Linked DNA regions of Callithrix jacchus. The protein of the gene in region 5 purifies or fractionates together with the protein of the main gene of each other region. This does not show direct contact. Links are inferred from orthologs where the notes say so. Each region holds a gene or a part of one and is shown on either strand. Other genes may lie near its edges.

Region 1 (3,842 bases), on a different chromosome or scaffold from region 5:
CCTATAACCATGCAAATATTATGAGAAGTTGAATAGGCTCCATCTCTCAGTGGTGATTAACATAGTTTTTAAGAAACAGGTGACAGAGCTAGGGCAAGTGTCAGTAAAGGAACACACTATTGGAGCTTAATTTGAGGAGGGAAAGTAGCTATGATTAGGGAGTGCTTGGTCTGATCTGGAAAAGAGTGTGGAGGTGACATTTTCAAAGGTGTAAACAGGGGAGCCAGGAATACAGAGCAGAGCCTTTGAGGCCACAGAAAGAGTCAGGCAGCAGTGGGGATTAACAGCTGTGGGTCAGGAGCAAGGGTGAGGAGTGGACTCAGCAGCTGAGTGAAAAAGGGAGAAAGTTAGTGTTCCGGTACTCCTGGGCTCCCAAGCTATGCAGAACTACAGTTCTTTGCTAACAGAAAAAACAGAGTGAATTCCTATGGGTAATACGAAGTTACTGATACTACATCATGCTAATTAACACTTTCCAGGATTTGGAAATCCTTTATTTCCACTTCATAAAAAACAATATCCCAAATTAAATATATTACTATGTAAAGAAGAAATTATTCAGTTTGTCATTGAATCAGGCAAATTTCACACTTGAAGTGCTGACCCAAACTTGGCTTGAGCAGTTACAGATTACAGATGAGGGAATAGAAGAAAGACCACATAAATCTGCAAGTGCAGACAAAACTTACCTGTGTTCAAACAGAAGAAAGAAGCAGACTCTTCAGAGTTAGGCTTATCCTTTTGTACAGAAAACACTTGAAATTTCTAAACTAAGTTTGCTTGCAACTGAATACGCATATTTCTTTGGATAGTGGCTAGATAAAGGATAAATTTTATTCATTCCAAGAGTAGTTTTCAAATTCGAGCTTGAAAAGTAATTATTCAAAGAGCACAGTTTGGAAAACCACTGAATTAACATGTCACCCAAATACCTAAAATCCTTAAATGTGAAAAGGTAAGTCAACATGTGTATTGTCATTTTACAAGATACTCAGTTACCTCTTTTTCCTGTTACATTAACAACTAAGATACTAACTTTTATGTTTATGATCTAAGAAGAAATTCATAGCACCATTTTGAGGTTATTTTCACAGTCTCTTTTTATCTTTCAGATTTTTTGTTTAAGTTCTTGGTTATTGGGAATGCAGGAACTGGCAAATCTTGCTTACTCCATCAGTTTATTGAAAAAAAATGTAAGTGACATAAAATGGTCATTCTTCTGTGCATGTCTCCTTAGAGTCTTCTCTTGCTCAGTTTTGTTTACAGTAAAACTTACAACGTTTTTCCATGGTAAAAAGTAATAGTTTAAAAGTATTTTAAAGGGTTTTGTTATTAAACTTTGGTATTGTCATTTTTTTATTAAGTTAGCATTTCAATTTAACAATGGTTCAATACATGGTTACTTATACTGTACATTTTCCAGAAGCTAAGAGATCATATAGTGATGTTGAAGAACGCAAAGGCATTCTCTGGCAGGAATCCCATTTCCTGACAGCAGCCAGAGAAGCTCTAGGCATAGATTTTGGATAAAATAACAACGTTGGATCCTTACAGTGGCCTTCTGTTGTAGTTAAGGCAGTTGCTGTCATCAGTTCTGTTTTATAGACCAGGAACAGAGCTCTTGACCACACATCCCATCTTTTACCATCGACCCTCACTGTTTTGGTAAGGGAGGTTGAATTTTTTTATTTCAAACTATGTGAGGCCTTGGAAAACTGTAGAAGACTGTAGGTTTGAAAGGCCCTTAAAATAAAAAAAATGCTTTTATAATAATGGAAAGAATTGTGGAGAAAGACCTGTCTAGTTAGTGGCAGGTGGGCAAAGGCTCAAAAACAGAATGTTTTATTTAGTTAAGTGCATGTTAAGGAAGTAAATGTCAGACACCATAGGTGGGTAAAAAGGAGAAAGAGCCAGTATAGGGTGTCTTGGCAGAAAGCTTTGAAGAAGCATAAAATTATAGGAATTTACTCTGCTACTTCCATTTTAATCAACCAAGAGCTTGTTGGAGCCTGTGTTTAGTGACATAGACCCAGTGTGGCTTAGTCACAGAACCAGTCCTTACTGAAATTAACAAATGTTCATTCACTGGATAGTTTATTTACAAGTTGCCAAGACTTAGAAAAGAATACCCACAGGGTACCAGTCCAAGTACCCAGCTTATATAATCATTCTCTCCTCAGAGAACTCTCCTTCAGGGTCCTCCCCGCAACTCCTCAAAACAGTGATGAAGGGAAGTTCTCTCATTGTAACCAGGATGCCCCTGGCCTTTAGTTACTGTCTTTTGAAGGATTTTACTCTGCATTTTGCCTGTTATTTTACTCCTAATGGAATTTCCATACTAGTTCTATACTGTCTGGGCATGAAACAGACTGGCATAGTCACTGTAACCATTTACCCTCTGCCCTGTAAATAATAAAGCCAGTTGCCAAGTAGCATCCCTGATTTCTGGAACAGTTAAATTTTGTTTTGCAGTTACAAAATGTAAACTAGTCAGTGGACTGAATAGCTGTGTATTTGATTTTAGCTTCTCTGTTCATCATCACAGAAATGTTCTTTCACAGGCCATGTATTCCCGCTAGGTTTAGCAAAATACTTATTTTACCTGTTTCCTGCCTGTTCAAACAGTTCTAATTTCTTAAACGAATTCATCCCAAATCATTCCCATAGAACATACAATGAATGAAAACTCAGACACTTGTAGATTGCATAGGGTTTGGGGGGTGTGTTTGAGAGTGTTTTGTTTTGGGGTTGGTTGTTTGAGGGTGTTTTTTCTTTGGTTCAGTTTTTTTTCCGCCTTTTCCCTTTTTCCCTGTTTTTCCTTCCTTTCACTGTTATTTCTTTAGAATATTTAACTATTCAAATACAGTACTTGGAACTGCCTCCACCTCACTACTTACTGAGTTCCAGACCTGTCACCACTGAACATTATGCCCTGAATGGTACCCTGGTATGTCAATAGTCCCGTCTGTGAGGTCTTAACAGCGCACAGTTGGATGCAGTTCAGATATGGCAGGGGTACCTTCAGGCATAGGCTTTTAAATGTATGATTTGTTTAGGGGTTTTGGGAAAACATCTTTATGTCTCTTTGAGAGTAGGGGCTGTGTGTATTGTCTTTAAAACTAAATGCATCTTCTCAGTGGAATGCTGGAGAAATGAATAGCTGGAGTAATGTCTGTTCTCCATTGATGTGACTCTTGGTTTTAGTGTCACTTATTTAAATCTATAAGCCTGTTAATGTTCTAAAATTAAATGTGCTGTTCTTGTTTTTCTTTTTTAGTCAAAGATGACTCAAATCATACAATAGGAGTGGAATTTGGTTCAAAGATAATAAATGTTGGTGGTAAATATGTAAAGTTACAAATATGGGATACAGCAGGACAAGAACGATTCAGGTAGCTTTTCTAACTTAAAAAATATTTGAAAGTTGGATTTAAAATAATTGATGATATTATCTCAATATATTATGTCTCACCCCCTCCCCAACACACCCTTCCTTGTCCTAATCTCAGAAACTTCATTTTTGGAAACTTTGATTGACAAGACAGCTCAAATTCAGGTTAGCTCTCTACAGCCTGGATTTACTAAAGAATACAGTAGGATCTCAGAGCAACTGCATCATAATTTGGAGGCTGACCCCTTCTCAGGAGGATGTGGCACTGTGTATTGTACAGTATGTTTCTAGATTAAAATCAGAGCAAGAGCTTGTTTTTCTGTTTCTTTTTTAAAGAAGAATTGTTTAAAACCTCTTGTGAGGTTGTATTTTGTTTTACATTAACTAGAGCATGTTCTGATGTTTGATACACACTCCACAAAATATTCTCTCCACACTTTTATTACAATAG
Region 2 (4,560 bases), on a different chromosome or scaffold from region 5:
TGCCCGGCCCTTTTTCTTTCTTTCTTTCTTATTATTTTTTTTGAGTTCTTTTTTCTTTTTTAGACAGGCTCTCATGCTATCACCGAGGCTGGAGAGCAGTGGCATAATCATGGCTCACTACTGCCTTGGACTCCTGGGCTCCAGGGATCTGCCCACTTCTGCCCCCCAAGTAGCTGTGGCTAGAACAGGTGCACACCACCATGTCTGGCTTATTTATTTATTTTATAGAGGCAGAGTCTCACTATGTTGCTCAGGCTAGTCTTAAACTCCTGGGCTCAAGGGATCCTCTCACCTTAGCCTGGCAAAGTACTTGGATGACAAGTGTGAGCACCGTTTTTTTGTTTGTTTGTTTTTTTGAGACAGAGTCTCACTGTGTCACCCAGGCTGGAGTGCAGTGTAGTGATCTCAGCTCACTGTAACCTCCACCTCCCAAGTTCAAGTGATTCTCTCCTGTTTCAGTCTCCCAAGTAGCTGGGACTACAGGCACCTGTCACCATGTCCAGCTAATTTTTTGTATTTTTAGCAGATGTGGGGTTTCACTGTTTTAGCCAGAATGGTCTCAATCTCCTGACCTTGTAATCCACCCCGCTAGGCCTCCCAAAGTGCTGAGATTATAGGCGTGAGCCACCACACTGGGTCTTAAATCATTTTTTCTTTCTTTTTCGTAAATTTTTCACCCCCAGCACACATATAGCAAGAATAATTTTTTCTAAAGGCAGAGGCTGGGCATAGTGGCTCACACCTATAATCCAAGCACTTTGGAGGCCAAGGTGGGTGGATCACCTGAGGTCGGGAGTTCAAGACCAGCCTGACCAACATGGTGAAACCCCATCTTTAAAATAAATAAATTAATAATAAAGGCAGAGATAAACTTGTTTCTTTATAGCCATGCTGTCCATTTTCAGCTTTCTGGTTACCAAGGCTACACATTCACAGCCTATTGAGTGAGGTTTCAGGAATACTGCACCTTAACAGGCCGTATTAAAAGATCCATGTGGAGAATGACATTTTTAGTTCAAATCTCTGTTTTCCTAAGCTATTTGGTCAGTGAAGTCACACATGGGGCCCCATTAGGGAGATCGTTTCAACTGAAGCCCCAGGATGTGTCTAGGTGGGGCTGTGTGTGTTGGGGTGATAGGGCCGATTCTCTATAACTAATTTACGTTTTCATCCTTTTCCACCAGGGGGCAGACTGACCCAACAAATAACCTACTACTGCCCATCCCGCTTTTTTCAAAGGGAATTGGGATCCATAGAACTAAGGGCTTGGACCACTAACACTAAAATTCTAGGACTGCCTTTTACTCGGCCCCGGAAACCGATCATAACTAATCTCCTGGCTTCGCTGAATAGCACCTCCAAAATTCAGCCCCAAATTTTTGTCAGTTTCTAGTGCCCTTCCTATCTTCACCCATATTTCCAAAACTCTTTTCCCTTCCCCAATCCCTCTAAAATTTCTCTCCGTCTGAGAGAACAGAGGCCAGACTGGCCGCCTTGGCCGGCCCGAAAGGGTGGGCGGGCAGGGGGTGGAGCCCGGAGGAGTGCCGCCTCTCCTCTTTCCCGGAGCCTGGGCGGAGAGGGAGGAAAACTTCCTGGCCAGGGCTCCGTGCCGCTGTTTGCCAACCGTCCAATCCCGCCTACCAGTGCCAGGAGCTCCCCACCCCACCCCCGGCTCCCCCGGTGTCCGCCATGGCCAAAGCCTACGACCACCTCTTCAAGTTGCTGCTGATCGGGGACTCGGGGGTGGGCAAGACTTGTCTGATCATTCGCTTTGCAGAGGACAACTTCAACAACACTTACATCTCCACCATCGGTGAGCCCGCTGGCCATGTCCCAGACCCCGACTCTCCTGTGACCTCATTCTCAGGCTCCCGGTTTACTAGTGACCCCACTTATCAGTCCCCTTACAGTAAGGCTCCTAAATTCTAGTTCCTCAACCCCTGGCTCTGACCCCTCCCCCTGCATGTCTCTGTATAGTTAACCAAACCTCTCACCTCTTTGAGGCCTTCAGGTAACACTTCAAATGCTGCCAGCCCCTCATTTTCTTGGTACCATCTCCTTAGCCTCTCCAAATCCACAAGAACTCTTCTCTATTTTCCTCTAAGCCCCTCTTCCCCATCCTCACCACCTAGAACTCTCTCGATCCGCTCTCCGCATTTCCTCTATCCCTCTGGAACACATCTTTTTCTCCAGATCCACCAGCCTCTTTCAGTCCTGCTGAACTTCAAACTCTCCCACTGCGCCCCACCTCTCCATCTACTTCCCAGTTTTCCGACCCCACTCTTCCTGCACCTCAGCTGAACAGGAGTTTGGGAAGAGTGGAACAAGGTGGCTGGGTGTACTGGAGGGTGGCCTAAGGACTGTGATCATGAATATGTAGCTTAGCCAGCTTGGTGACGGACATGGAAATGAGGGGACTTTTGGGGTCTCTGAGTCAGCCTGGTGACTCATCCTCCTCCCAGAGGCCCCCAGCGGGCTTGGGGGAGGTGCCCAAGTTTCTATTAAGAAGAACACTCTCTCCCCTCCTCCCATCTCATTTTTCTTCATCTCCTCTGGCTTGGGAAATAGGAAGACTCATGACAATTCTGGTTACAAAGGAAAAGGAAAAATGCCCCTCTTTCCTAATTGTCTCAAGAGTAATCCTGTTCAGCCTCAGACTTTCCTAGTGCCAAGTTTGGCCCACTAGTTAATTCACTGGTGGCTTCATAGCCATAGACTGGCTTCAGCTACTTTGTTTCCTTACTCTTTTGGAGGAAGGCGGGTGGCATACCAATAGTAGAAGGCTCTAAGAAAACAGAAAAGAGGAATGTGAAAGTAATTTTTGGGGGGAGAGAGAGACTGAATTCAGAGAGTTGTCAGCTGGCATATATGAATGGACCCAAGAGGTGGCTTAAGAATCTTAAGCCTCCATGCAGAATTTTCACACTTTCTCCCTCCCCAAATCCATAAAATATAAGTAAAAATAGTATTCTTGCTGTACAAATACAGCTTTGGGAAAATTCTCTTAGCTTGGCATTTCCAACAAGATTGCTCCCCAAGTGCCTCCCCTGCAGAATTTCTGGTGCTGACACTGCTGTTCCTGTCCCTCCCATCACACAGTTTTACATGTGTGCATGCATGTCTCAACTTCAGTGCACACCCTCTACCCCTAGGAATCGACTTCAAGATCCGCACTGTGGATATAGAGGGGAAGAAGATCAAACTGCAAGTCTGGTGAGTGAATCCCTGGGAAGCCCAGCCGGACTTCCCCATTTGCCTCCCACAGTCTTTTCCTTCTATTTTGTTTCATTTCTCTTCCTTTCCCCATGGCTCTTTCTTTCTTTCTTTTTTTTTTTTTTTTTTTTTGAGACAGATTTTCGCTCTTGTTACCCAGGCTCGGCTCACCGCAACCTCCGCCTCCTGGGTTCAGGCAATTCTCCTGCCTCAGCCTCCTGAGTAGCTGGGATTACAGGCACGCGCCACCATGCCCAGCTAATGTTTTGTATTTTTAGTAGAGACGGGTTTCACCTTGTTGACCAGGATGGTCTCAATCTCTTGACCTTGTGATCCACCCGCCTCGGTCTCCCAAAGTGCTGGGATTACAGGCGTGAGCCACCACGCCCGGCCCCCGTGGCTCTTTCTAGCACTTCTAATCTATTTCTCTTGGAAAAGGACTCAGCTGTCCTTCCATCTCTCTTCCTGCCCTCTCAACTAGTTTCAGTTTTTTTGTAACTCTTGCCCCCTCTGGCTGCAGAGCATTCTCTTAGTTGGACAACAAACAACTGTTGGGTTACAATGTGGAAACAGGCTGTGAGCAGTTAAATGGCACTGGCGGAATTAAGACTTGACTCGAAGTCTAGTGTTTTCTCCAAAACATGGTGAGTCCAGAAAGCCAAGTACAGACCCTGAAGGTGTTTAAGTGATACTAAGCTTAGCGGAGGCATTGTGCTATGACATATCTGCACAGACTGGTGCTCAAATCCAGTTCTTTTACTTATCTGCTGCCTGACCTTCATTAATTATTCAACCTATCCAAATCTGTTTCCTCTTTTTTTATTTTTAAATGGAGTCTTTGGCGTCAGGTTGGAGTGCAGTGGTGTGATCTTGGCTCATTGCAACCTCTGCCTCCTGGGCTCAAGCGATTCCCCTGCCTCAGCCTCCTGAGTAGCTGGGATTACAGGCACAAGCTATGTCCAGCTAATTTTTTGTATTTTATTGGAGACGGGGTTTCACCATGTTGGCCAGGCTGGTCTTGAACTTCTGACCTCTTGATCCATCCACCTTGGCCTCCCAAAGTGCTGGAATTATAGGCATGAGCCACTGTGCCCGACCTTTTGTTTTTTTCTTGAGACGAGAGTCTCGCTCTGTCTCCCAGGCTGGAGTATAATGGCACGATCTCGGTTCACTGCAACCTCCGCCTCCCAGGTTCAAGCAATTCTTTGCTTCAGCCTCCTGAGTAGTTTACAGGCACCCGCTACCACCCTCGGCTAATTTTTGTGTATTTTTACCATCTTGGCCAGGCTGGTCTTGAAGCCCTGACCTCTTATCTACCTGCCTTGGCCTCCCAAAGTGTTTGGATTA
Region 3 (4,561 bases), on a different chromosome or scaffold from region 5:
GGTCAAGAGAGAAGACAGGAGTTTGGGTTGAGGTGGGGGAAGAAAATGAGAAGAGAGCTGTGCCAGTGATGAGGAGGGCTAAAGGATTAACAGTCTGCCCTCGTGGTGCAGCGCACTCACCCTGCATGTTCATTCATTTAGCAAACAAACCAGGCCAAAGAAGGCCCACTATTAAAAGATAAGGTCACATCTGACCCCAAATCCCAGCCCCAGCTCTACCACTTTCTAAATGTATGACCTTAAGCAAGCTACTTAAGTTCCTTTAGCATGTTCTCTAAAGCAGAAACACATACTTGCCTTATCTTACTCCAAAAAAGAAAAAAGTAACAAAAATTAAAAACAAGTGGGGAAACAAACCCCACTATTCCCAGGGTACCTGTGAGGAATATGTATGAAAATAACTTTGTAACTTTAAAATGATTTTTAAAAATTAGTGTTATTGCCCCTCTACAGTTTAACAGCCCACTAATCATGAGAGGCAAGAGGGCAGGAGAGGAACAGCATCAGAAAGGAGGGGTTTCTGTCACACACAGAGCCATAGCTTTCTGCCAAGCAGTCAGACCTCTGCTTGGACTATAATTTCTGGATGCCAGAAGCAGCTGCATTCTCTCCCAAAGCACTGGGGCCTTCCTCGTCTGTCTAAATGGCCGAGCTTCCCCTTCAAAAGTCATTTCAGGCCGGGTGCAGTGGCTCACACCTGTCATCCCGGGACTTTGGGAGGCTGAGGCGAGTGGATCACCTGAGGTCAGGAATTCGAGACCAGCCTGGCGAATATGGCGAAACCCCATCTCTACTAAAAATACAAAAATTAGCCTGGCGTGGTGGCACGCTCCTGTAGTCCCAGCTACTTGGGAGGCTCAGGCAGGAGAAGCCCTTGAACTCAGGAGGTGGAGGTTGCAGTGAGCAGAGATCATGCCACCACGCTCCAGCCTCGGTGACAGAGCAAGACTCCATCTCAAAAGAAAAACAAACCAAAAAAAATTGTTTCAGAGTCAGAGCTGGAAGAGCATGTCCAGACAAAGGAAAAAAGGTCTCCTCAGAAGGCTGGTCAGTCTCATCCCAGGACTCCTGAAGACTGACAAACCATGGTCCACTCCTGAAGACGTAAGTCTGGTCAGAGACCAATGGCCAGTGAGCAGTCAGGCCTCTCTGACCCTGCCCCTCAGATGCCCAGGCTGCCCAGATCAGAAAAACTAGATTGGCTGAAGAAGTCTCCAATGAGCCCCCAAGGAACCCACACAGATAAAGAGCTTGTGATCCAGCTGTTGACCCTAATAAGGAAGGCTTCTGTTGTCCAATAAAAAGTGAAATAAGTAGGCTGGGTGCGGTGGCTCACACCTGTACTCCCAGCACTTTTGGAGGCCAAGGCAGGCGGATCATGAGGTCAGGAGTTCAAGACCAGTCTGGCCAACATGGTGAAACCCTGTCTCTACTAAAAATACAAAGTTAGCCGGTATGATGGCATGCGCCTGTAATCCCAGCTACTCGGGAGGCTGAGGCAGAGATTTGCTTAAACCTGGGAAGTGGAGGTTGCAGTGAGCTGAGATGGGGCCAATGCACTCCAGCAGGGGGGAAGTGGGGGCGCTGGGGGAAGGTGAAATAAGTCCTAGGTCTACTCACAAGACTGGAGAAATCAGACACTAGTGACTGTCCAGAAGTACTCAAAAACACCTCAATACCAAAAAACAGCACTTTTAAGCAGCACGAGAGGGTGGTAAAGGTAGCTCAGAAAACTGAAGAGCTACAGACATTCCCACTATCTATCCCACTTGCTATCTACATATCCACTGTAGATAGCAAGGGTCAGTCACGGCCTCAGAGACAGGCTACTCCTCATTAAGGTACAGTCTCGGGCCTGTACTTTGGCCACATAACAAAGCTTGGTCAGAGACAGCAGCTATTTCACACACCTAAGCCCCAAGCAACAGTCCATACGGTTGAGGGAACCAGCATTTTCTGGCATGTGTGGGAATTCTTCAGGCTACAATTCAGACCCCAGAACTGCCAGTGGGATCTTGACTTAGTCCTCAGTAATAAGTCCAAGCCCAGAAGGGATTAGATACCAGCGCGGTGTGGACCTGTTGCTCAGGGTGGTTTATGTGTGTGTGTCTGGAAGTGGGAAAGAGATAATTCTTCAACTCCAGACTCCTCATTTTGGGTCTTATTCTCCTGCCTATAGACACACGGACAGCAGTCCCGGGAGAAGCAGTCCCTTTGAGGAGGCTTGAAAACTACTCACGTGCTCTGGGAGGACAGAGCTGAGCCTGGAGCAAGGGGGGAGGGGAGAGAAGATAATGAATGGGCATATCCACCCTGATCTGTGATCTGTAGCTAGGATTGAGCAAACCTCAGCTAAATTCTTCAGGGGCAGAAAGAGAGAGACACTCAGAGAACAACATAACTAGAGAATAGGGCAGGGAGACAGAAGGGGCAAAGCAAGAAAACATCTCATTCCTACTAAATGACCCAGACTTTTAACTGAGGTCCTGGTTGGTTTTCTGGCTTGAGGAAAGAGGGAAGTAAGGAGTTGTGGAAGCGCAAATACACTTCTGTGCGTGTGGAACGGTCTCACCCAGACGACCCCCTCCCCCATAGGAAATCGACATATTCCTCTAGGGCTGGAGGGGACAACTGGTTTCGTGGGACAGGAGGAAGGAAAACGGCGACAGACAGCACTCCCTGTCACTTCTAAAAGACAAGAAGGACAGGTTCCTTCACACCTGGCAAAGATCCTTCGATTCTGGGAGCAAGGCGAGCGGAACTTAGGGTTCCTCTCTCCCACAACTGGAATGGACAGGCCAGAGAACAGTCATAGGAGTTTCCTTAAGGCTCACGAAAGGCAGGTAAGCTAAAGAAAGAAGCTCCCCCGCTCCTTTGGCCCGACGCCTGGGGAACCCCTTAGGAGGAGGCTACGGGTCGGGGGAGGGGTCATTATCCCCCTAAACGGGCTGGGTGGTGAGTAAGGGCTGCCCTGGAGATGCTTCAACGCAGGCGAGACACCAGGTTCGGGGACAGGCATACTCACGGCGGCTCCGGGACGGCAGCGTTACTTGGGGCCGGGACTCGGACAGGCTTCGCTTCTCTCCCCCCCCCCCGGCGGTGTCCCAGGCTCCGGCCTCCACTTCCGCCTTTCAGCCGCTCCGGATCCGGATCTCCACCTCCGTCCCGCCCCTCAATACTACCCAGGTGATTGACAGGGTAGAGGGACTAATGGAAGGCACTCTTGGCCGACCTATCCAGCGGCTCCGGTAGAAACGCGGGAGTGGTTGGAGGGCGCGCGCGAAGGATGGCGGGACTTGTAGTTCGCAGCGCTGGGAGGAGTTGGCGGCTGCCTGGGATTTGGGCTTAGGGTGGAGCCGGCTGACTGCGAGGCGGAGCCCGGCCGGGAATTATTATTTTTTTGTGAGGAGTCTCAGTCTGTCTCCCAGGCTGGAATGCAGTGGCGCGATCTCGGCTCACTGCAACCTCCGCCTCCCGGGTTCAAGCGATTCTCCTGCCTCAGCCTCCCGAGTAGCTGGGATTAAAGTCATGCACCACCACGCTCGGCTAATTTTGTATGTTTTGTAGAGACGGGGTTTCACCATCTTGGCCAGACTGGTCTTGAACTCCCAACCTCGGGTGATCCGCCTTCTTCGGCCTCCCAAAGTGCTGAGATTACAGGCCAGAGCCACCGTGCCCGGCCTACGGCCGGGAACTTTTTAAGGCCAAGCCTGCCACCCGCGTCACCGCCGGTTCCGGACGCCCGAGGGAAGGCGAGTGGCGGAGAGTTGGAAGAAGGCAGAGGACTGTGTGTGCAGAATTGGAAAAGGAAAAACATGGTGCGAATGAATATGCACGCGAGGCTGCGTGGACCAGTCCTGTGAACTCGCTGATCTGGAGCAGCCCCTGTCTGCGCTTTCCGGCCAAGTCAGCTTGGGAAGCCCGATTGCTGGGGGCCTCTGTGATGGGGAAGGCGATGAAAGCGATGAAAGGCTGTAGGAAAGGTTCTCTGCAGGATGCTGAGTGAGATCAAAGGGAGAGCTTCTGCCACCACCCCCTACTTGGTGTGTCGGGGGGGGGGCCGGCGCAAAGACCATCTCCGCCTCTGCCTTCCCCTGCTCCCAGCCAGGGTCAGCTCTTCTCTCTGACGCGGAATGTAGAGCTGGATAACCTCTGGCTCGGACCTCTCCATCTGAAAATAAAGACTAGAACCACCCCCACTCTGCCCCTCCCCATATGGATCAGGACTATTTGTTTCTTCTGCTCCTCTGAATATGGATCCGGCCAGCTCCTGATTCCGCCCACCCTTACCTCTCAACACAGACTAGTACCTCCTCTTCCTTTGCATGTTACCCTCCAGGGACACTACTGAAAACCTGTGTAGAATCAAAGCTCACTGGAGACAGCTGTGACCATTGTGCCTCTAGTACTGGCCAACACCGGGCATATCCTGGAGCCTCAGCTGGAGAATCGACCTCTCTGGGACAACCTGCCACAAAACTGTGCCCACATCTAGTTCCATCTGGTCAGCAGGGTGTCTCTTTCTTACATCCATAACACACAATCCCCACTCCAGTGCAGG
Region 4 (4,283 bases), on a different chromosome or scaffold from region 5:
TGCAACTACTGCAACTCCTGATCGCACCACTGCAGTCCAGTCTGGGTAACAGAGCAAGACTGTCTCAAAAGCAAAACAAAACAAAATGAAAGAAAAGAAAGAAAGAAGGTAAATTCCGTGATGGTGAGTGATAGATCTGTGTTCCAAATAATACAGATGGATCATATTTTACGTATTCTCAGAATTCGTATTAAAAAGATCCCTACAGTGATTGCACAGTTAAGAATGCTCTCAAAGATGTAAACTTCCAATCTACTCTGTGGGCAACGCTAGGTTTTTACAAATCAGGGTTGCTGTGTAACATACGCACGTACTGTGCATTACTAAACCGAGTTCTAAATACAGTACAGCTGAAATCTGGTGGGTAACGTCATCATTCGGCAAATGTCGCCAGCCCCTATCATATTCAGAACCCTGTGTTCTGAGGTGCTCAAGTTCAAGCTGAGGAATTTGCTAAACAAATCTCTGGCAAGGAATCAGCAGGGATTTTCTATATCCTTAAATCCTTCCAAATAGAAATGGCAAAACATACGACTCGAGTCCATAATTCCTAAAGTTTCAATCTCTTCGCACTGCTTGAGTTTTAACTTGCTTATTCCCCCAAAGGAGTATGTCATTTACTTACGTTAAAAATGAAACAGCATACAAACTTCTGAACTCTGAGTGAGACCGCAATCAGGGTTAAAAACTGATTTCGTGCGTTTCCGTGGAAAATGGAAGACAGACGTGATGGCGAGAGACCAAGCAGTGCCACGGCCCGGTTGGCGGTACAGGGACCTGCACCTGCTGGTGTTTGTGGGAGAGCGCCGGTGTAGACGCGAACGCGGCGCGGGCCTGGGGTGGGGGCCTTTCCAGTGGTCCAGCCACACCGCGCACGCGCAGTGGTGAATACCCGTGTACGGTGTTCTTTTTCTTATTTTGAATCCATTTTCATGATGCGCTGAAATGTTGAAGTTTAAAACTGCCTACGGAGAATGTTAAGACTAAAACGACACTAAGTTTCTTCTGTTAACTATAAATGCAGGGCAGAGTGAAAGCAGAGTAGGGAAGAGTGAAAAGGGGGAAAAGGGAAGTGGTAAGAGGAAGATAAGATCAAAGAGCCGGCAGAACAGGGAGGAAAGCGGGGGTGGGGAACGGAGGTAGGAAAAAAGCCGGGCGGTGTGCGGGAAAGCCCCGCACGCTGCAGCCCCCGCGAGGCCCCAGTACGCGGTCCTCCCGCCGGCAGGGGGCTCCCGCTCGTCCGCCAGCCTCCTGCCCCGCGCGACCCGCCGCCCCGCCCGCTCCTGCGCTTCCTGCCCCTCCTCGTCCGGGATGCTGCTGCCGCTACTGCGGAGTAGCTGCTTCCCTTCCTCCTCTCCCGGCGGTGGCGGCGGCGGCGGCGGCGGAGGAGGGGATCCAGGTTCTGAGAACCGACCGGCAGCGCAGTTGCAGCGCGGAGCCCACGGGTTGCTGGGGCCGCAAGAGCGGGCGGACGCCGAGCCCGGGGCCGACCCCCCGCGCGCGGCGGAGGCTGAGGGGGCGCCGGGGCCCGGGGCGCGCGGCCGGGGGGCGGGCGGCGACGGCGGGCGGCGGGCCGAGCGGGAGCCGCATGCGTGTATGGATCCGGGCGCCGCGCTGCAGAGGCGGGCTGGGGGCGGCGGAGGCGGCCTGGGCGCGGGCTCCCCGGCGCTGTCGGGCGGCCAAGGCCGCCGGAGAAAGCAGCCCCCTAGGCCGGCCGACTTCAAGCTGCAGGTCATCATCATCGGCTCCCGCGGCGTGGGCAAGACTAGCCTGATGGAGCGCTTCACCGACGACACCTTCTGCGAGGCCTGCAAGTCCACCGTGGGTAAGGGCGCCGCGGCGACCTCGGTCCGGGCAGGGCTGGGCCTCCTGGCGCCCGGGCCGGTGCCCTTCCCCGTGGGCCTCGAGTCTCATCGAGCCTGGGAGCCTTTCGGGGATAGGGCTCTCGGTGAAACTAGGGGCAGAGGTTTTCGTGGAGCGCCTTCCACCCCAAGCCCAAAGCCTGGCGGAGGTTTTCGGGCCGCCTCTGCGCAGACCTGCCCTTGGCCCCCGGCGCTGTCTCTGAGGTTCTGGCGACCCGGGGGGACTGGGGGAGCGGCTCTCCACGGAAACTTCGACTCTTAGCATGCTCGCCCAAGAAAAAGCTGGGTGCAGTGGGGGCTCAGGCAGGCAGGGGAGTGAACGCCGAAGGCCGCTGTCGCCCGGGCCGCCCCTGCAGGCCAAGGCCAGCGCGCGCTGTCTGCCGCGGATGTGATCCCTTCGCAACCAGGGCAGTTTTCTTATGTTGAACCCATTTTCATGAAATGATGAAGTTTAAAGGCACTTACGGAGAATGTTAAGACTAAAACTACACTAAGTTTCTCGTGTTAACCGTAAGTACCGGTCAGAGGAACTTCAGCTGTTTTTATCCGTGACCTCAAACAACCCGGTGACTTGGCGGGCGTGGGGCTGATTCCTCCAGTACCATTCTTTTCGGTGAAGGACAGGAGTGAAGTAACTACAGGAACGCTCCACGGTCAAAGAGGAGAATAGCCGCGGATCTGAAATAAAAACTGCAGGGGAAAATTTTTTTAATGAAGTCACGCTTAAAGGATTTGACTTTGAGATTTGTCAGGTGGGTGTGGGTAGCAGTTGCTTCCATGGAAAACCCCTTAAAAGATTCCAAACTAGGAGAAACCCATTCTTTAAAATAAGGCAGTTACCTTCCGTTATAGGAAGTGAGAGATTGGGCGGTCCAAAAAACTGAGTCGTCAGGAGAATTGATAGAATTAAAAGTATCATTTCATGTAATTCTGTTTATTAATAGTGTTATAACCAGTGGTAGTTCCAAGGCTGTTGGTACGACTTTGAGATGAATTGGTTTGAAATTGTCATGTAACCAAACAGTACTACATTTAAAGTGTCTTACTGGAAAATTAAACCACCAATTTTTGTATTGTCTTTTTGTTTTTTCAGAGCTTACTTCCCTTAATGCTTTATTGGAATAGATCATTTTGGAACTGTTTTGTGCTGTCTGTACCATTTGTTTTTAAAATGTTGGCGTTGGGGACATGATATTAAAATTAGCAGCGTAACTTTGCCTGTTTCAAAATCCAATCTTGCATTATACAGAGTACAGGGAGTTGTTAAGCCATCAAATGAGGGTTATGCTGTTATTTTAGTACCTGATACAAATAAAGTAGGGTTAAATTCAGTTCAGAATTGTCAATCTGTTATGGCTCTGCACTTAAGTATATGAAAATGAGGGATAATAGAGTTGCACTGTGTGATGAAGAGAAATCAGGTACCTATAGGTGGGTAACTGAATGCTTGGGTGCATGGAGGGTGAGATGGATGAGCAAAGGTGTGCCTTAGAATGCAGAGGAGAGGGGAAGAAGTGTTTTCCAAGCCTGGCAGCAGTGGAGCAGCCCCTTCCCCTCACCTCTGGGGAAGGTTTCTTTAGGGGACTTGGGAATGAATACTGCGAGACCTTGACTGCCCTGCTAAGGAGGGTGGACCCTATCCTATGGGCACCTGGAACCAGAAGGCATCTTAATAAGACATTGGCATGAAGACAATGAAACTCATTTGGCAGAGTTGCATAGGATGTTTGGGAATGAGGACAAAACCAGGAGGCAAGGAGACCAGGCAGTTGTTTCTGTGTCCCTTAGTATACACTTTCTACTCTGAGTGTGGATGAATTTCTCTCATCCTCATTTTTGTTTGCTTCACATGTAGCCTGTAATACTTACAGTACTGAAGTGCTAGTACTCCAGTACTCCGTGCGTCCTTCTAACTGTGGGATGTTCAGAGAATGATCATGGCCTCTGGCTTGCTAAAAGCATGAAGACTCTGAGAAAGCTAACCAGCCCTGCTTCAGTTTCTGCTTCAGAGTTGCTTTTCAAAACCTTCTACTCATCAGATAATTCATCGAGCACCTACTGTGTGTTGGGTATTATGCTGTCCAGAAGTGGATCAGAGCTCCTGGGAGCTACATGACCGCTTTTTAAGGCAGTGACAAATGTGTATGGGTATTTGGGAGCACAGCGAAAGCACCTCCCGTCAGCACTAGGGATGAGACCTGGTTGGAGAAGGCTTCCTCGTCACTGGAATGTTTGAAGATAAGTTCCTTACTCTAGTTCCTTTAGAAAAATGCTAATTAAATATGGTACTGGGTGTGGTGTAGAACTGTGGTTGCCCCACCTGAATGGTTACCATTAGAGCAGTTAGCTCACAGGGTCCTTCCAACGCTGGTTTTTCTGGTTTCATCTCCATGTATTACAGTGAGTTGCATATAGAGCAAG
Region 5 (3,737 bases):
GTGAGCGCCGCCCGCCCGCCTCGTCGGAGACCGCCCCTGACCCCGCCTGGACTCCCGCTCCAGCCCCCACCGCTTGCTACTGTGGACCCCGGAGGCTTAATCCTCCAGTCCCCCGCGCTGCCTCGACGTTAACCCGACCGGAGGCTGGGCCCCCGGTCCCTCTAATTCCTCCGGTTGACCCCAAGGCTGGGCTCCGCCCCCTCACGTCTTTGATGCTGATCCCTGCCCAATGCCGGATCCCCTGGTCCTGTTGCTGCCTTCCTGCCTGAGGCCAGGCCCTGCTCCCCGTGCATTAACCCGAAAACTGGCACCCGTCCCCCTGTTTCACTTCGAATTCCATCCAAGGCTGGCCCCTGGTCCCCTCTGCCCTCTCCCTTCAAGCCAGAGGCCAGGACCCCAGCTCTCTCTGCTTCCTCCACGTTGACACCCACCCCTGCCGCACTCCCCCCGCTTGGAGCACCGAGGGCTTGCAGTCCTTGTGCCAGCATTCACTCATTCGGTGAATTTGATCTTACGCAGGTCAATTTGGCCCCAGGGTGCTCTGGGTGAGGAATTCCTTGGTGAGTAATGCCACCTTTTACAGTCCAGAGTGAAGCTAAGCCAGAGCCCCAACCCAGGCAGCCAAAGCCCTGCTAGGTACCCAGCTTTTGGGAAGTAACTGTAAAGATCCAGAGGTTCAGGTTTCAACCGTTTTATTGGGAGGTTCTGTTTTCTGTGAAATACACTAGAGAGGGGGAAGGGGACACATTCACTTTGCAAGGTAAGGGTTTCCCACCACTAAAGGAAAGGCATGGGGCAGGGCACACGGGGGTTTGGATCCATTTTCCCACCTCCTCCTGCTTTGCTCACATTTCTTTTCTCTCAGCCAATACCAGAGAACAAAACACAAAGACAAGAAACAAAACAGCAAATCAACCTCCAACGGGCCACGCCCAAGCCTTCCCCACTCCCCAGGCTGGGCAAGGGCTGGGGCATCTCACTCTACAGCCCCCAGGCAGCACAGGAAGGCTGCAGGCTCAGAAGGGGTGGGTTGAAGTTAATAAATTAGAATAAATTAGGGGGGAGGAATGCAACTTTGTGCTGGGAGGGCCCCTTCTCTCCAACACGCAAGAGTTGGTAGGGGGAGGTGGGGCATCTCCAAAGGCCACTACAGTGGGGGTAAGAGCGGTGGGGGCAGAAGTCACCCTTTCCTCCATGTTCTTCCCAGAGCAGAAGGGGTGGGGGGAAGAGACACACACAAGGAGAGGAACCCTCTTTTCCTAGGATAAGGAAGGGCCAAGAAAGAGGATGCTAACCAACCCCCCATCTTCCAAACCATCGCTAGAGTTAAGGATTTGGTCAGTGGATCAATGAGGCGGGTGATGGGAAGGTGGTGGGGGAAGCAGAGGATGCTAGAGCCCTCGAGAACAGACAGGCAGGGGCAGCAGGGGCGGGGCAGCCGCAATCACTGCTCAGCTTCTCCAAAGACATCGTTCTGCTTGCGCTTCATGTTCTCGAAGTCAAAGGCCGTGCCAGCCATGCGTTTGTAGATGTCTTTGATGTCGTTGCAGGTTGTCTCAAAGTGTGTGGTGGCATCATAGGAGCAGGAACAGAACACCTGGAAATAGCCAGAGCCCAGGGCCCAGGGTGAATCGGGCAGGTGCCCTGGGCGGGCAGCCAGGAGCCAGGGCTGGGATAGGCTGCTTACCTGGCTCTCAGAACCGTCATCAATGGGCTCATACAAGTCACTGATAGCCACAAACCTGAGGGGCAGATGGAGGGGAGGGGACAGGCCTCACAATGGGCCATGCCCATTGTGGGTCCTTAAGCCCAGCTCCTGGGCTCCCTCCCTCTCCACCCCCAGGCTCAGCCAAGTCCCTTACTTCTGGTCAATGGGCTCCAACAGCTCCAGAGCTGGCTCCACCTCCTTTTCGGGATCCATGGTCTCCACGGTAGTGCTGGCAATGGCAATGTACTTGCCCTGGGCCGCCACGTTGTGTGCGTAGGAGATCATGCACACATAGATGTCTGGCCACAGGAAGAGCTCTGTCAACTCAGGCTGGAGGCACCAGCCGTGTGCAGAGAGGGGTTCCAGCAGCTGGACGCAAGTCTGGCCCGCCTGCCCCTCCCCAGCCCCACAGAGCAGGTAGCATCCAAGCTGTCACCTTCCCAAACGGGAAGACTCCAGTCCACCCAAACCCTAGGGATCCAACTTGTGGTGACTGCAATGTGGGTCAAATTTTTTCTTCGGAGAGATAAGGCAAGGAGCTCCGACGCTGATGGGGAGATAAAGAGCAACCTCAAAGAGAACACCCTGGAGGAAGCTGGACCGGCGCCTGGCCTACCTGACTTCCTGTTGACCTGGTTCTGGGGGATGATGATTTGGCAGGAGTTGGCGTCATTGGTGTTCTTGATGGGGTGGCTAAGAATACAGATGATGCGGATGACCTGGCCCGCCTTCCGCACACGGTCTGGGATGTAGCTGGGGTCACAGATCAGCTGCTTGCAGCGGGCCACCTGAAAAGGCACCAGAGGTCCTCACCCCTGTCATATCACTCCCCTAGGTAGTCCTGGGGCTGTACTCACAGCAAGGGCAAGCAGCTCTGGCAGACAAGGCGCTCCTCAGAGCCATCACTACTGCCCCTCCTGAATGCATGGCCCTGCCCTGCAGCTCTGAGGTGGGCCCTGACACACAGGCCGGGTGCCCGGCCCCGCCCCCCATGGGCACTGTGATCAAGAACACTTTTGCACCACAGACGTGGCATGTGGACTCTCAGACCCCTCACCAACAGACATGGCTCTGACGACTTCTGGACCCCTAGTTCCCAGCTGCAAGGCCCTTGAGGCTGCGTAGCAGCAGACCCAACAGCACAGTCAAGAAGAAGGTGGCCACACCCCACCTCAACCATGGTGACAGCAGTGCATGGGGAAGGCTCACCTCTCCCTCAGACTTCACGCCCACCACCTTGCCGTTCTCCATGATGATGTCATCCACAGGTTTGTTCAGCATATATGTCCCCCCATAGATGGCACTCAATCTGTGGTGAGAATAGCCACGGTGAGGGCCCCTCCCAGGAGAAACTGGGACCAATTCCACTGCACCCTTCCCTCCACCAAGGTGCAAAGAAGGCTGCCCCAGGCAGGCAGCAGGCAAGAGACCCCGGGATTCATCCCAGCTCTGTCACTGCTGTGAACTCTGGCCCCATCTCGACAGGCTTCTTCGTCTCTGGAGCTTCTCCCCAGAATACACTGTCAAGGGTCAGCAGCAGGTGGCATGAAGGAGGAGTGCTCCACACCCACCAAGACAGCCTGGGGGACCAGAATGAAGGTCCTCTCTGGAGGTCAGCTCCCAGCTAAGCCCTGACTCAAGGTTCCATTGCCCTGGGCCCAGTCCTGGTGCTTCCAGGAACTGAGCAAGTTGTTTGTGGAGACTTGGTTCTTCGACTCTGACTTCGATACACTGGGGTTGTGCCCCCATCAGCCAAGGATGGAGCGAAGTCAATGAAGACCAATGCTAGCAGGGAAATGCTCAAGGGGCCAGCTCCACTCCTGGCCCTAGTCCTACTCAGCCAATGCCAACTGAAAAAACCCACGTCCTCACCTTGCAAAACCCTGAGGCAGCTCACCCAGGCCGTAAAGCGGGTATAAATACGGGCTCTTGCCATACCGGGCCAGGGACTCACTGTACAACTTGATGCGGTTGATGGTCTCAAGACAGGGCTGGTCCAAGTAGCTGGGGGACAGGGGTAAGGGAAGAT
Region 6 (4,474 bases), about 140 Mb from region 5:
AAATATGTTTGAATGCCTTCTTGCATTTTGGAACAGCCTAAGAGTCACTCATGGAACCTTCTTAGGTCATTTTTATGAAAGCTGTTGGGTTTCTCAAGGTTCGCTTTAACTCAAAATTCAATAATTTCATGAGATCACTTGTTACTAGCTGGTTGGTATTAGCAGTTGCACAGATAAACTCCTATTCCATCACTTCTTGACTATGGTTGGGATGTATGATTTTCAGGTGGCATTTCTTTAATTACCCTGTGGATTGCTTGTTGCAATTTGACCCAACTACATGTCTTTTTTTCTATTAGAAAATTAATTCTAATGTTTATATATAATGCTTTACTATGTACTTTTAATATGTATTTTAAAACAAGATAACGTACATCTGTTCTTTCTACCAATTTAACAGATTTGCATTTTATAAACATTTATACATATTTCCTTGGGGAAATGACCTGTATATCAGAAATATAGATCTGTTTGTGAGAAAAAAATTATTTAAGCTTATATGTCATTTTCAGAAGTACTCTAAAATTGCCTTTTTAATTTGTGAGGAACTTTCTCAAATATGACCTTTCTAGTGCTGAATGAAAAGTCATTTCCTGAAAATGACTCCCCAAAGAGCTGGAGATTAAATTGTTGTGGCCCCCAACATCATAAAAGTGAGATCCTTGTCTTGGAAACTAAACAGACTAAACCTTTTTTTAAGAAACCTTTTCTTTTAGGTTTAGGGATACATGTGCAGGTTCGTCATGTAGGTAAACTGCCTGTCGCCAGGGCTTGGTGTACAGATTATTTAGTTACCCGGGTAATAAGCATAGTACCTGATACCTAGTTTTTTTCTGCTCCTTTCCCTCCTCACACCTTCCACCCTCAAGTGGGCCCGGGTGTTTGTTGTTTCTCTCTATGTGACCATGTGTTCTCATCATTTAGCTTCTACTTGTAAGTGAGAACAGGCGGTATTTGGTTCTCTGATAAACTAAATATATCTTACAAAATGTATTGAGATGTCCCTAAGAGTCCCTCTCCCCTGCAGGGTTCGGTATCATAGGATTCTGCACTCAACTTCATACATAAAGCAAGGACTTAAGGAGAGCTTCTCCAATACCACCTTTTGCACCATCGCTTTCTATTTAGAGATGACAGAGGCAGTATTTTAACAAGATTAAAGTTTTAATAGCTTTATTTTAAAAGTTCTTGTTTTTCCACAATATCACAACTGTTTTCATTTTTCATCTACCTGTTCGTTGTTTGTCCGTTTGCCTAGTCGTTTTTATCGTTGTAATCACGACATCCTGTCTCATGAGGTCTGTTTGTTTCCACTTTACATAAACTTTTCAAAATGACGGTTATTTCGTACTCGCTCTCGCCCGAACGCAGACTGGAGGACCCACGAAGAGCAATCGACCCGAAGGAAAAGTACGATTCAGGCCCGGCCTGCCTCGGCTCCACCTCCCCCGGGCCCCTCTCCCAAGGTCTTGGCCGCCGGACCCCGCCTTCTAGGCCCCGCCTCTCAGGGCCCCGCCCCACTTTACCCCTGGCCCCGCCCCGGCCCGTCGCCATGTTGTTCCCTCCGCGCCGGACGGAGGCAGCTGGAGCTGGAACCTGGCTGCGCTACCGCCGCCGCCTCCTGCTCTGCGGGTCCCCGACCCTCTCTCTGTCTTCATAGCACCCAGACGGGCCGGCCCAGAGCTCTCGGGCAGTCTTTCGTGTGTCCGCGAGGTGAGCGGGACTCGGGACTCCTTCGGGGCCCGGCGGGCGCACGGGTGTCGGGGTCTGAGGGGGCGGCTCGGGCCTCGGTCAGCTGGGGCAGGGTGCGGTGCGCGCGGGGCTAGCGCGGGTCACAAGGCCGCCGTGGGAGAGAGGACGGCTGGTTGTCTCCCTGCCTGCTGTCTGACATAGGAGGAAAGACGGGTCCCAACATCCCTGGGGAGAGGAACACACATGGAAACACAACACGCACGGGGACGCACACAAACACTGGAGAGGGAGGTACAAAAGCCCGGACACCCGCGCACATACACACGGAGAAATGCACCCAGTCACCTGGGAACACACGTACACACCAGCCTTTCCCTGGCCACTCCGGGACACACATCCACACACTCCAAACCAAACGCTACATCCGAATAATTAATGTAGGGAAAACAAAGGCGCTCCCACGACTTGATTTTGGCGATCTCTGAAGTTCAGCCTAGCAGAAAGTGACTGTTCGATGTCTTAGGACCACTCGGGTGAGGAATTCGGAAAGTAAAGCCAATCTTAGAGGCTGCAGGCGGTTTGGGGGCATTATCTGATTCAGACGCTGGCTAATGTTTCACAATTGCGTTCCCTTTTTTCTTCCAACTTAGTCAAAAGGCAAGATGAAAATTTTAAGTGCTGAACAAATAGTTGGTGGACGTATTGCCTTTTTTTTTTTTTTGGTTAGGGATGACACATCTCGTGACTACAGTTCTTTTGAGGAATAACTTTTCTGCTAGTTTCCAAATCGCCATGTGACCACAATCTTTTCATAGGATTTTAGCATCCTGCTAAAAATCAATGGGCAGAATTTGATTGCTTTTTTAAAAAAAAATGTGTTTGTCCTTCGGTCTCTGACACCGTTGTAATGGAAAATCCCTGCATTGCCTGTGCTCTCAGAAGCTGTCCGGTGGAGTACAACCAGAGATTAAGGAACCCAGAGCGATTCAGTTAGGAACTTTTAAGAAGCCAGCCTTTAGTTTTTCCTTTAGAAGATTATGACGTTGTCATGATTGCTTCTCTAGAACTGTAGTATGTTGTTTGGATTCTTAAATCTAAGACCATGTAGTCTGGTACTTTTAGTATTTTTGTGTCTGCTGGAGTAAATTCCTCGTTTATACTCAAAAGTTTGTCTTTTGGAGACTTTTAGGATCTGGGCATATTTTTTGTTTATTATTTGGAATGTTCGAGTCTAAGTAGAACATAATTGGCTTTGACTCCAAGCCACATTCTTAGAGATAAGGGAAATACCTGAGTGCTATCACCGCTTTCCCAACCTCTCTCATCTCTTTTTGTCTCTATCAACCATTTCTTCTGACTAGACTGCAGTACTCTGGAGGCCTAAAGATAAGATCCTTGAATTCTAGAAATTATTTCTTTTAACCTCCCCTCATTTCTGACCATTTATTGGACACTCACTCTGGTGGTGACTATTCTGTGCGTGTAAATCCTGTACATACATCATTTCATTTAATTTTCGTAGCATTTCTTCAGTAAGAGCTCCATGTTACAGTTGAGGAATGTGGGGGGGCATAGGCAGATTCAGTCTGTTTTCCAAGCTGACCCAGGTTGTGATGGGGTGGAGCTGGAATTCAAAGCAGGTCTGGGTAATTTTAGAGTCGGAGTTCTCAACTGGAAGAGAGGACAATTTTGTCCTCCTGGGACGCATTTGGCAACACCTGGAGGCATTTTTGGTTCACACCTGGGGGCAGGGAAGGTGCTGCTGACCTCTTGTGGGTAGAGGCCAGATATGCTGCTAAACATTCTTTTTTATTTTTATTTTTGTTATTTAATTTTTAATTTTTGCTGCTAAACATTTTATAACCTGCAGGACAGCCCCCCACAGTTGTCTAGCCCAAAATGTCACTAGTGCGAGGGTCGAGAAACCCTGCTTTACAGCTGTCCCAGTAACCCCAGAGCTTACATTTCAGCTGTGTTTGTAGTTTTTCAAATGCAATGTCATTTTCCTATTTGGGATACCTCATCATTTTAAGTGAGCAGGGGAAAATTCTCTATACTGAGAAGCATATTCATTTGAAAGATTAAAGAGTGAGCAAATAATTTCTGGTAGCAGAATTTGTTTTTTTGCTTTAAGGCAAAAATGACAAAAAGAACTTAAGAGCTATTCAGAGCCATTAAAGTGGACTTAGAAAGTTTAGATTCTGCATTATTTCAGTGGTCTCAGCAGCCTGTGGGGCACTCATACAAAGAGGTGCTGATGAGAAGGGCGGTAGGGAGTCCCAACCTTCCTGAAGCTTACAATCCAATCACAGTCCTAAGCTTAGGTTCTGACAGCATCCCAGAATGGAATTTATTGCCTGGCCTACTCAAGGACAGGGGCCAGGTGTTCATTAAAAAAGCAAAACAGGCTGAGTGTGGTATCTCATGTCTGTAATCTCAGCACTTTGGGAGACCCACACAGGAGGATCACTTGAGCCCAGAAGTTTGAGAACAGCCTGGGCAATATAGTGAGAACCCCATCTCTACTAAAAATAATTTTTAAAAATTAGTCTAGATGAGTGTGGTGGTGCATGTCTCAGATACTCTGGAGGCTGGCAAGAGGACGACTTGAGCTCTGGAGTTCAAGGCTGCAGTGAGTCATGATTGCACCACTGCATTCCAGCCTGGTCAATAATAAGACCTTGTCGCTAAAAAAAAATATATATATATATATATATATATATATATATATATATATATATATATATAATAAAAACAGCTTCACACTCCTCACAGAAGGCAC
Region 7 (4,308 bases), on a different chromosome or scaffold from region 5:
TCACAACAGCTAATCTGGTTGGGTTTCTACCACTAGCTAATGAAAGAGGACTGAACAATAAATCCACAAAACAAAGAATTAGCCGAAGACAATAAATAATAAAGGATTAACCTGAGTGTAACAGAATGCTGTTTCCCCCCTATATTTGTCATCAGTTAATTGAGAGCCTACTGAAGAGTGATGAATATTACCATCACCGCCAACAGTTCTACGGTGCCTTATGGGTTTCGAAGAGCCTTCACGTTTAGCATTTCATTTAATTTTTCACTAGAATCCTATGAAGCATCTTGTTTCATATCCATTTTACAGTTAAGAAAACTGAGATGTACAGTGCCTGCGTGACTTGTCACAGCGGTTAAGGCGCAGAGCCAAGACTAAATTCAAATCTTATTCTGTAAGTTCCCGTGGCCCGGTTCCTGCCTCACAGGATGCTTGCAGTTTTATGGGGCACAGACCTGTAGCACAAGGCTTCCCAGATTTAAAAATCCATCCTCCTCCGGCATAGGGGAGCGATCAGCGTAGCAGATCCTCTAAATACCCACCGTGTTTGGCTCTGGTCTGTGTGGTTTGAAGAAAGAGGCACGAGTGAGGTTCGAGTTAGCACGGTAACCATTCTTTCCCAGCTCTGTGACTGAGGAGCTGCGGGTGGGGGATTACAGTGGTGCTGGGCATGGCCTGGGAGAGAAGCTGGATGATGCACTCTGCAGATAACCCGTAGGCTGCGCCACAGCAGCGCCAAGAAAAGAAAGCATCTCTGCTCCGGGTCTCCGCGGAAGAGATGCGGGGACTACGGGTTTCTGATTCTGAGGTCCTGGATTTACAAGGCGCCCGCACACAAAGAAATAACAAAGTTCAGTTCCGGCGGCTTGACCAGCAGAGTTCGAAACGAGGTCTCCCTTCCCTGCTCCGGTGGAAACGCCCCCACGCTCTCACCCCGCCCACAGCAGGTCTTTTATCCACTGGAGCCGCCAGGACAGACCGCGCGGGGCACGCCCGAAGCTCCCCGGAGGAACTACAAGTCCCATGAAGCCTCGGAGAGCGGGCAGTGATGACGAAGCCCTCGCAGATTGGCAGTGCAGGGCGGGGCGCGCAGGCTTTCTCCGAGTGGAGGGGCGGGGAGCGGGGCGGGGCGAGCAGCGGCCGATTGACGGGCACGCCCCCTCGCCCGCGGCCCCCTCCCGCCTCTCTCCGCCGCCTCCTCAGGCTCCCCGGTCAGAGGGCCGGAGCGAGAAGATGGCGAAGACGTACGATTATCTGTTCAAGCTGCTGCTGATCGGCGATTCGGGGGTGGGCAAGACCTGCCTTCTGTTCCGCTTCTCAGAGGACGCCTTTAACACCACCTTCATCTCCACCATCGGTGAGGGAGGGGCTGCGGCCCGGGACCGGAGAGAGAATTGGGGGGCGGGTACGAGGGGATGGGAAGCGGGCGGGGGGCGCTTGGGAGCCCGGGAGAGGAGACCCCGGGGACTGCAGGGTGGCTGGGGTACTGAGAGGGGCGAGGGCGTGAGGGAGAGGGGCGAGCGGAGACCTGAGGCAGGGGCGAAGGGGGAACTTGGGGGCAAAGGAAGGGGAAGGGGAACAGAGGAACAAGGAATTGGGGGTTTGGGGGAACGGGAGGGTTCGGAGACAGGGAGGGGTCCTAGAGGGACAAAATGTGTTGGGGGGAAGATGCAGGAAATCTCATGTAGGGAGAGAAGGGGATCGTGGACGCGAAAATGGATTAAAAGACAAGAGAGGAAGGAAATGTGAAAGGGGGAATGAGAGGGACGTGAAGTAAAGGGATAGACGACACCAGGGACAGAGAGGTGAGAGCCAGGCAACTGGAAGGGAATTCAGGGGAATGAGCGGTCGGGAGGCGAGGAAGAAGGGGGACGCTGGTCACAGGAGGTCTGGACAGAGATGTCGTAGGAGGGGCCAGAGGAAAATTGCAGGTGGAAGAAGAGTTCAAGGGACCTTCGGGCGGAATGAGGATACTTGGTGGAGAACGTAAAGGAGAGATGGGTGTGAGACGGAAAGGAAAAGCAGAAGCAACATCGTAGTAAAGGGAGGTTGAGCAGCGAAGACGGAAGATGGAAAAGGGAGGAAATGGAAAGTAGTAGTGTGCAGGACGAGTTCCAGCAACTGATTACCATTTTCTCTTTACTTCCTTTGGGTCAAGTGCAGGAGAAAGCAAAACGTGACTAATGATGGAATTATGTCTATAGAGCGTTAATTTGTTCTGTGATTGTTAACGGATGTTAAGGGAATTGGTGACTTTTGGAAATGGTGTGGTCAGGAAAATATGGTCCACCTTACTACCATCTCCTGAGAAGCAAGTCTTCTCGGTATCTTAAGTCCTTGGGTTTGAATGTTTAACAACTTCTCAGCCAAGGAATTGATCTTACATTCTGCCCACCTCCCGCCTCCCTGTATATTTTGCTTTGATTCTAATTATTGTTAAATGAATCACAACATGTGATATACCTCCCAGTTACTTCCAATTGATTCAAGAGTTTTTCTGATCTTGGCTGGAGCTCTCCTTCCTACTTTTGTACTGAGAGACACTGTGTTCAGGTAAGAAGATCTCTTAACTTACTATAAACTGAAGGGTTTTAAGCTCTTAGAAATGAACACCTTAGCATCATTTTCTCCTGTTAAATAGCTGCGGATTAATTAAGTACCTTAAGAATCTCAGCTTTTGGTTGTCTTGGTGATATTTCTGGCCTCTAATAATAGCTTATTTAGGCGTCTTTCATATGGTTCTTACAGCATATTTCACCATGAATTTCTGGGTTGGGAAATAATAGGGAGCTAGGGCTTTGGTAATACATGTGTTTACATATTTGTGTATTTTAAAGGGTAATTTATCTTTTTGTAAAACAGAGTATTCGATATAGAGCACTCTTTAAGTATTAGAAAAGACTGGGGTTTGTTTGTTCATTCTGGTGTCTTTCATATAGATTGAATGGTCTAAAACCTCCTATGATATCTGGGCTTAGGGAAGTTTGAATTGCAAGTTCTTGGCAGTCAGTCTTGAGTGGGACTTTTTCTTTTCTGAGAAAGCACATTTTAAATGTCATCTCTCAAGTAGATGCCTAAGATTTGGTGGTAGCTGTTGGTACCGCAACTGAAGGGCGTTAAGTTTTAACACATATTAATTACAAAGCCTCAAATCACTGTTTTTCATTGTTGAATGCATACTGCAATACAGATGATAAAGGATAATTTCTAACAAGTTGAGTGGGCGTCCTTTTGTCCATTCTGTGTTTGATCCTCCGAGGAGCATCTCCTGCCTTGAAAGTAAGTGAATCTCACTGATGCTGTTTCTCATAAGTTTCTTGGATGACTTGCTTGTTTGTAATATTTTTATTCATTTTCTCTATTTTTCCTTATTTTTTTGTCCTGTGTTTCCTGTAAGGATGTCTGCTTCCTTTTAAAATAGTAGCTTTTAAAAATTACTTTCATTTTGAAGGATTCAAGTCTGTGAGTCAATTAAAAAAAAATGATGGAAACGAGGCTCTTTGGAGGCTTAATCGCTATGAAGGTGTGAAAAGCAGCGTCCTGAAACAGGTTGGAATAGGAAGTGCTCATTAAAAGGAGGTGAATCGCATGGGAGATCTGGGTCTTTATATTTTCTCTGAGGTGGATGTGGTAAAAAGGCTGTGAGCTGTGTCTTCAGTTGATGTGGAGGAGGGGAAATCCCATAACTCTTATTTAGCCCTGGGGCTCCAACAGGAAGTGGTAGCACACTGTCTTCAGACCGCAGAATTTATATACCTGAAACCTAATGCTCTGCAGTCAAAATTAAGCTGGGAAAATAAGGTGAATGTTAGCACCATTCTGGTTCCTCAGAGTCTTCACTGCTTACAAGTATAGATTTTGGGTGTTCAAATCTCCGGCAGCCACTTCCCCAGGCCTCTCACCTCATTCCCAGGTGATCTGAAGTTGTTGAGGTGACAGTTGGTGGACCAGCTCCTCCCTAGTCATGAAGTACCTAGGTCTGTAAGTTCCTGGGCTCTTCTGACTGGGTTTTGATGAGGTCTGCCACAGCGTTGCTGACAACACTTGATAAGCTCTGTGTCACATGGAAAAGATGTATTTCTTAACGCCTGGGGTTTGTGTGTGTGTGTGTTGGTAGATATGTGTGGGTGTCTGTTTCTTCCCATGAAGATACATTTTGAGTCTTAATTTTGCTCTGTCAAAGTTATAGTAGTTTTAAAAATGGGAATCTGCCATCTTTCGACACTGTTTTGATAGGGGTTCTGTCATTATGCAGGGAAGGACACAATAGTCATTTTGATTCCAGATATAGTTGTCTCACAGATACTT

What was found.
Region 1: the proteins of GDI1 (region 5) and RAB4A purify together in Homo sapiens (co-immunoprecipitation; 4 studies listed by BioGRID and IntAct, counting the BioPlex papers as one, with this or other methods). This does not show direct contact. The link is inferred for Callithrix jacchus from reciprocal best matches to the Homo sapiens genes GDI1 and RAB4A.
Region 2: the proteins of GDI1 (region 5) and RAB13 purify together in Homo sapiens (affinity purification with mass spectrometry; 4 studies listed by BioGRID and IntAct, counting the BioPlex papers as one, with this or other methods). This does not show direct contact. The link is inferred for Callithrix jacchus from reciprocal best matches to the Homo sapiens genes GDI1 and RAB13.
Region 3: the proteins of GDI1 (region 5) and RAB5C purify together in Homo sapiens (affinity purification with mass spectrometry; 3 studies listed by BioGRID and IntAct, counting the BioPlex papers as one, with this or other methods). This does not show direct contact. The link is inferred for Callithrix jacchus from reciprocal best matches to the Homo sapiens genes GDI1 and RAB5C.
Region 4: the proteins of GDI1 (region 5) and RAB12 purify together in Homo sapiens (co-immunoprecipitation; 4 studies listed by BioGRID and IntAct, counting the BioPlex papers as one, with this or other methods). This does not show direct contact. The link is inferred for Callithrix jacchus from reciprocal best matches to the Homo sapiens genes GDI1 and RAB12.
Region 6: the proteins of GDI1 (region 5) and RAB9A purify together in Homo sapiens (affinity purification with mass spectrometry; 3 studies listed by BioGRID and IntAct, counting the BioPlex papers as one, with this or other methods). This does not show direct contact. The link is inferred for Callithrix jacchus from reciprocal best matches to the Homo sapiens genes GDI1 and RAB9A.
Region 7: the proteins of GDI1 (region 5) and RAB8B purify together in Homo sapiens (affinity purification with mass spectrometry; 3 studies listed by BioGRID and IntAct, counting the BioPlex papers as one, with this or other methods). This does not show direct contact. The link is inferred for Callithrix jacchus from reciprocal best matches to the Homo sapiens genes GDI1 and RAB8B.

What each region holds. Positions count from the first base shown.
Region 1 is NC_133520.1:21,248,121-21,251,962, reverse strand, and holds part of RAB4A (ras-related protein Rab-4A), read left to right. Parts: intron 1-1,112; coding exon 1,113-1,193; intron 1,194-3,277; coding exon 3,278-3,392; intron 3,393-3,842. UniProt on the Homo sapiens protein: The small GTPases Rab are key regulators of intracellular membrane trafficking, from the formation of transport vesicles to their fusion with membranes.
Region 2 is NC_133519.1:14,413,164-14,417,723, reverse strand, and holds the start of RAB13 (ras-related protein Rab-13), read left to right. Parts: upstream 1-1,573; 5' UTR 1,574-1,689; coding exon 1,690-1,813; intron 1,814-3,152; coding exon 3,153-3,213; intron 3,214-4,560.
Region 3 is NC_133506.1:121,574,043-121,578,603, forward strand, and holds the start of RAB5C (ras-related protein Rab-5C), read right to left. Parts: upstream 3,127-4,561; 5' UTR 3,026-3,126; intron 2,844-3,025; exon of another isoform or gene 2,384-2,843; intron 1-2,383. UniProt on the Homo sapiens protein: The small GTPases Rab are key regulators of intracellular membrane trafficking, from the formation of transport vesicles to their fusion with membranes.
Region 4 is NC_133514.1:54,463,817-54,468,099, reverse strand, and holds the start of RAB12 (ras-related protein Rab-12), read left to right. Parts: upstream 1-1,308; 5' UTR 1,309-1,311; coding exon 1,312-1,825; intron 1,826-4,283. UniProt on the Homo sapiens protein: The small GTPases Rab are key regulators of intracellular membrane trafficking, from the formation of transport vesicles to their fusion with membranes.
Region 5 is NC_133524.1:150,235,925-150,239,661, reverse strand, and holds the end of GDI1 (rab GDP dissociation inhibitor alpha), read right to left. Parts: intron 3,713-3,737; coding exon 3,581-3,712; intron 3,018-3,580; coding exon 2,918-3,017; intron 2,497-2,917; coding exon 2,325-2,496; intron 2,008-2,324; coding exon 1,863-2,007; intron 1,743-1,862; coding exon 1,688-1,742; intron 1,598-1,687; coding exon 1,445-1,597; 3' UTR 676-1,444; downstream 1-675. UniProt on the Homo sapiens protein: Regulates the GDP/GTP exchange reaction of most Rab proteins by inhibiting the dissociation of GDP from them, and the subsequent binding of GTP to them. Promotes the dissociation of GDP-bound Rab proteins from the membrane and inhibits their activation.
Region 6 is NC_133524.1:13,910,131-13,914,604, forward strand, and holds the start of RAB9A (ras-related protein Rab-9A), read left to right. Parts: upstream 1-1,549; 5' UTR 1,550-1,713; intron 1,714-4,474. UniProt on the Homo sapiens protein: The small GTPases Rab are key regulators of intracellular membrane trafficking, from the formation of transport vesicles to their fusion with membranes.
Region 7 is NC_133509.1:10,007,233-10,011,540, forward strand, and holds the start of RAB8B (ras-related protein Rab-8B), read left to right. Parts: upstream 1-1,214; 5' UTR 1,215-1,233; coding exon 1,234-1,357; intron 1,358-4,308. UniProt on the Homo sapiens protein: The small GTPases Rab are key regulators of intracellular membrane trafficking, from the formation of transport vesicles to their fusion with membranes.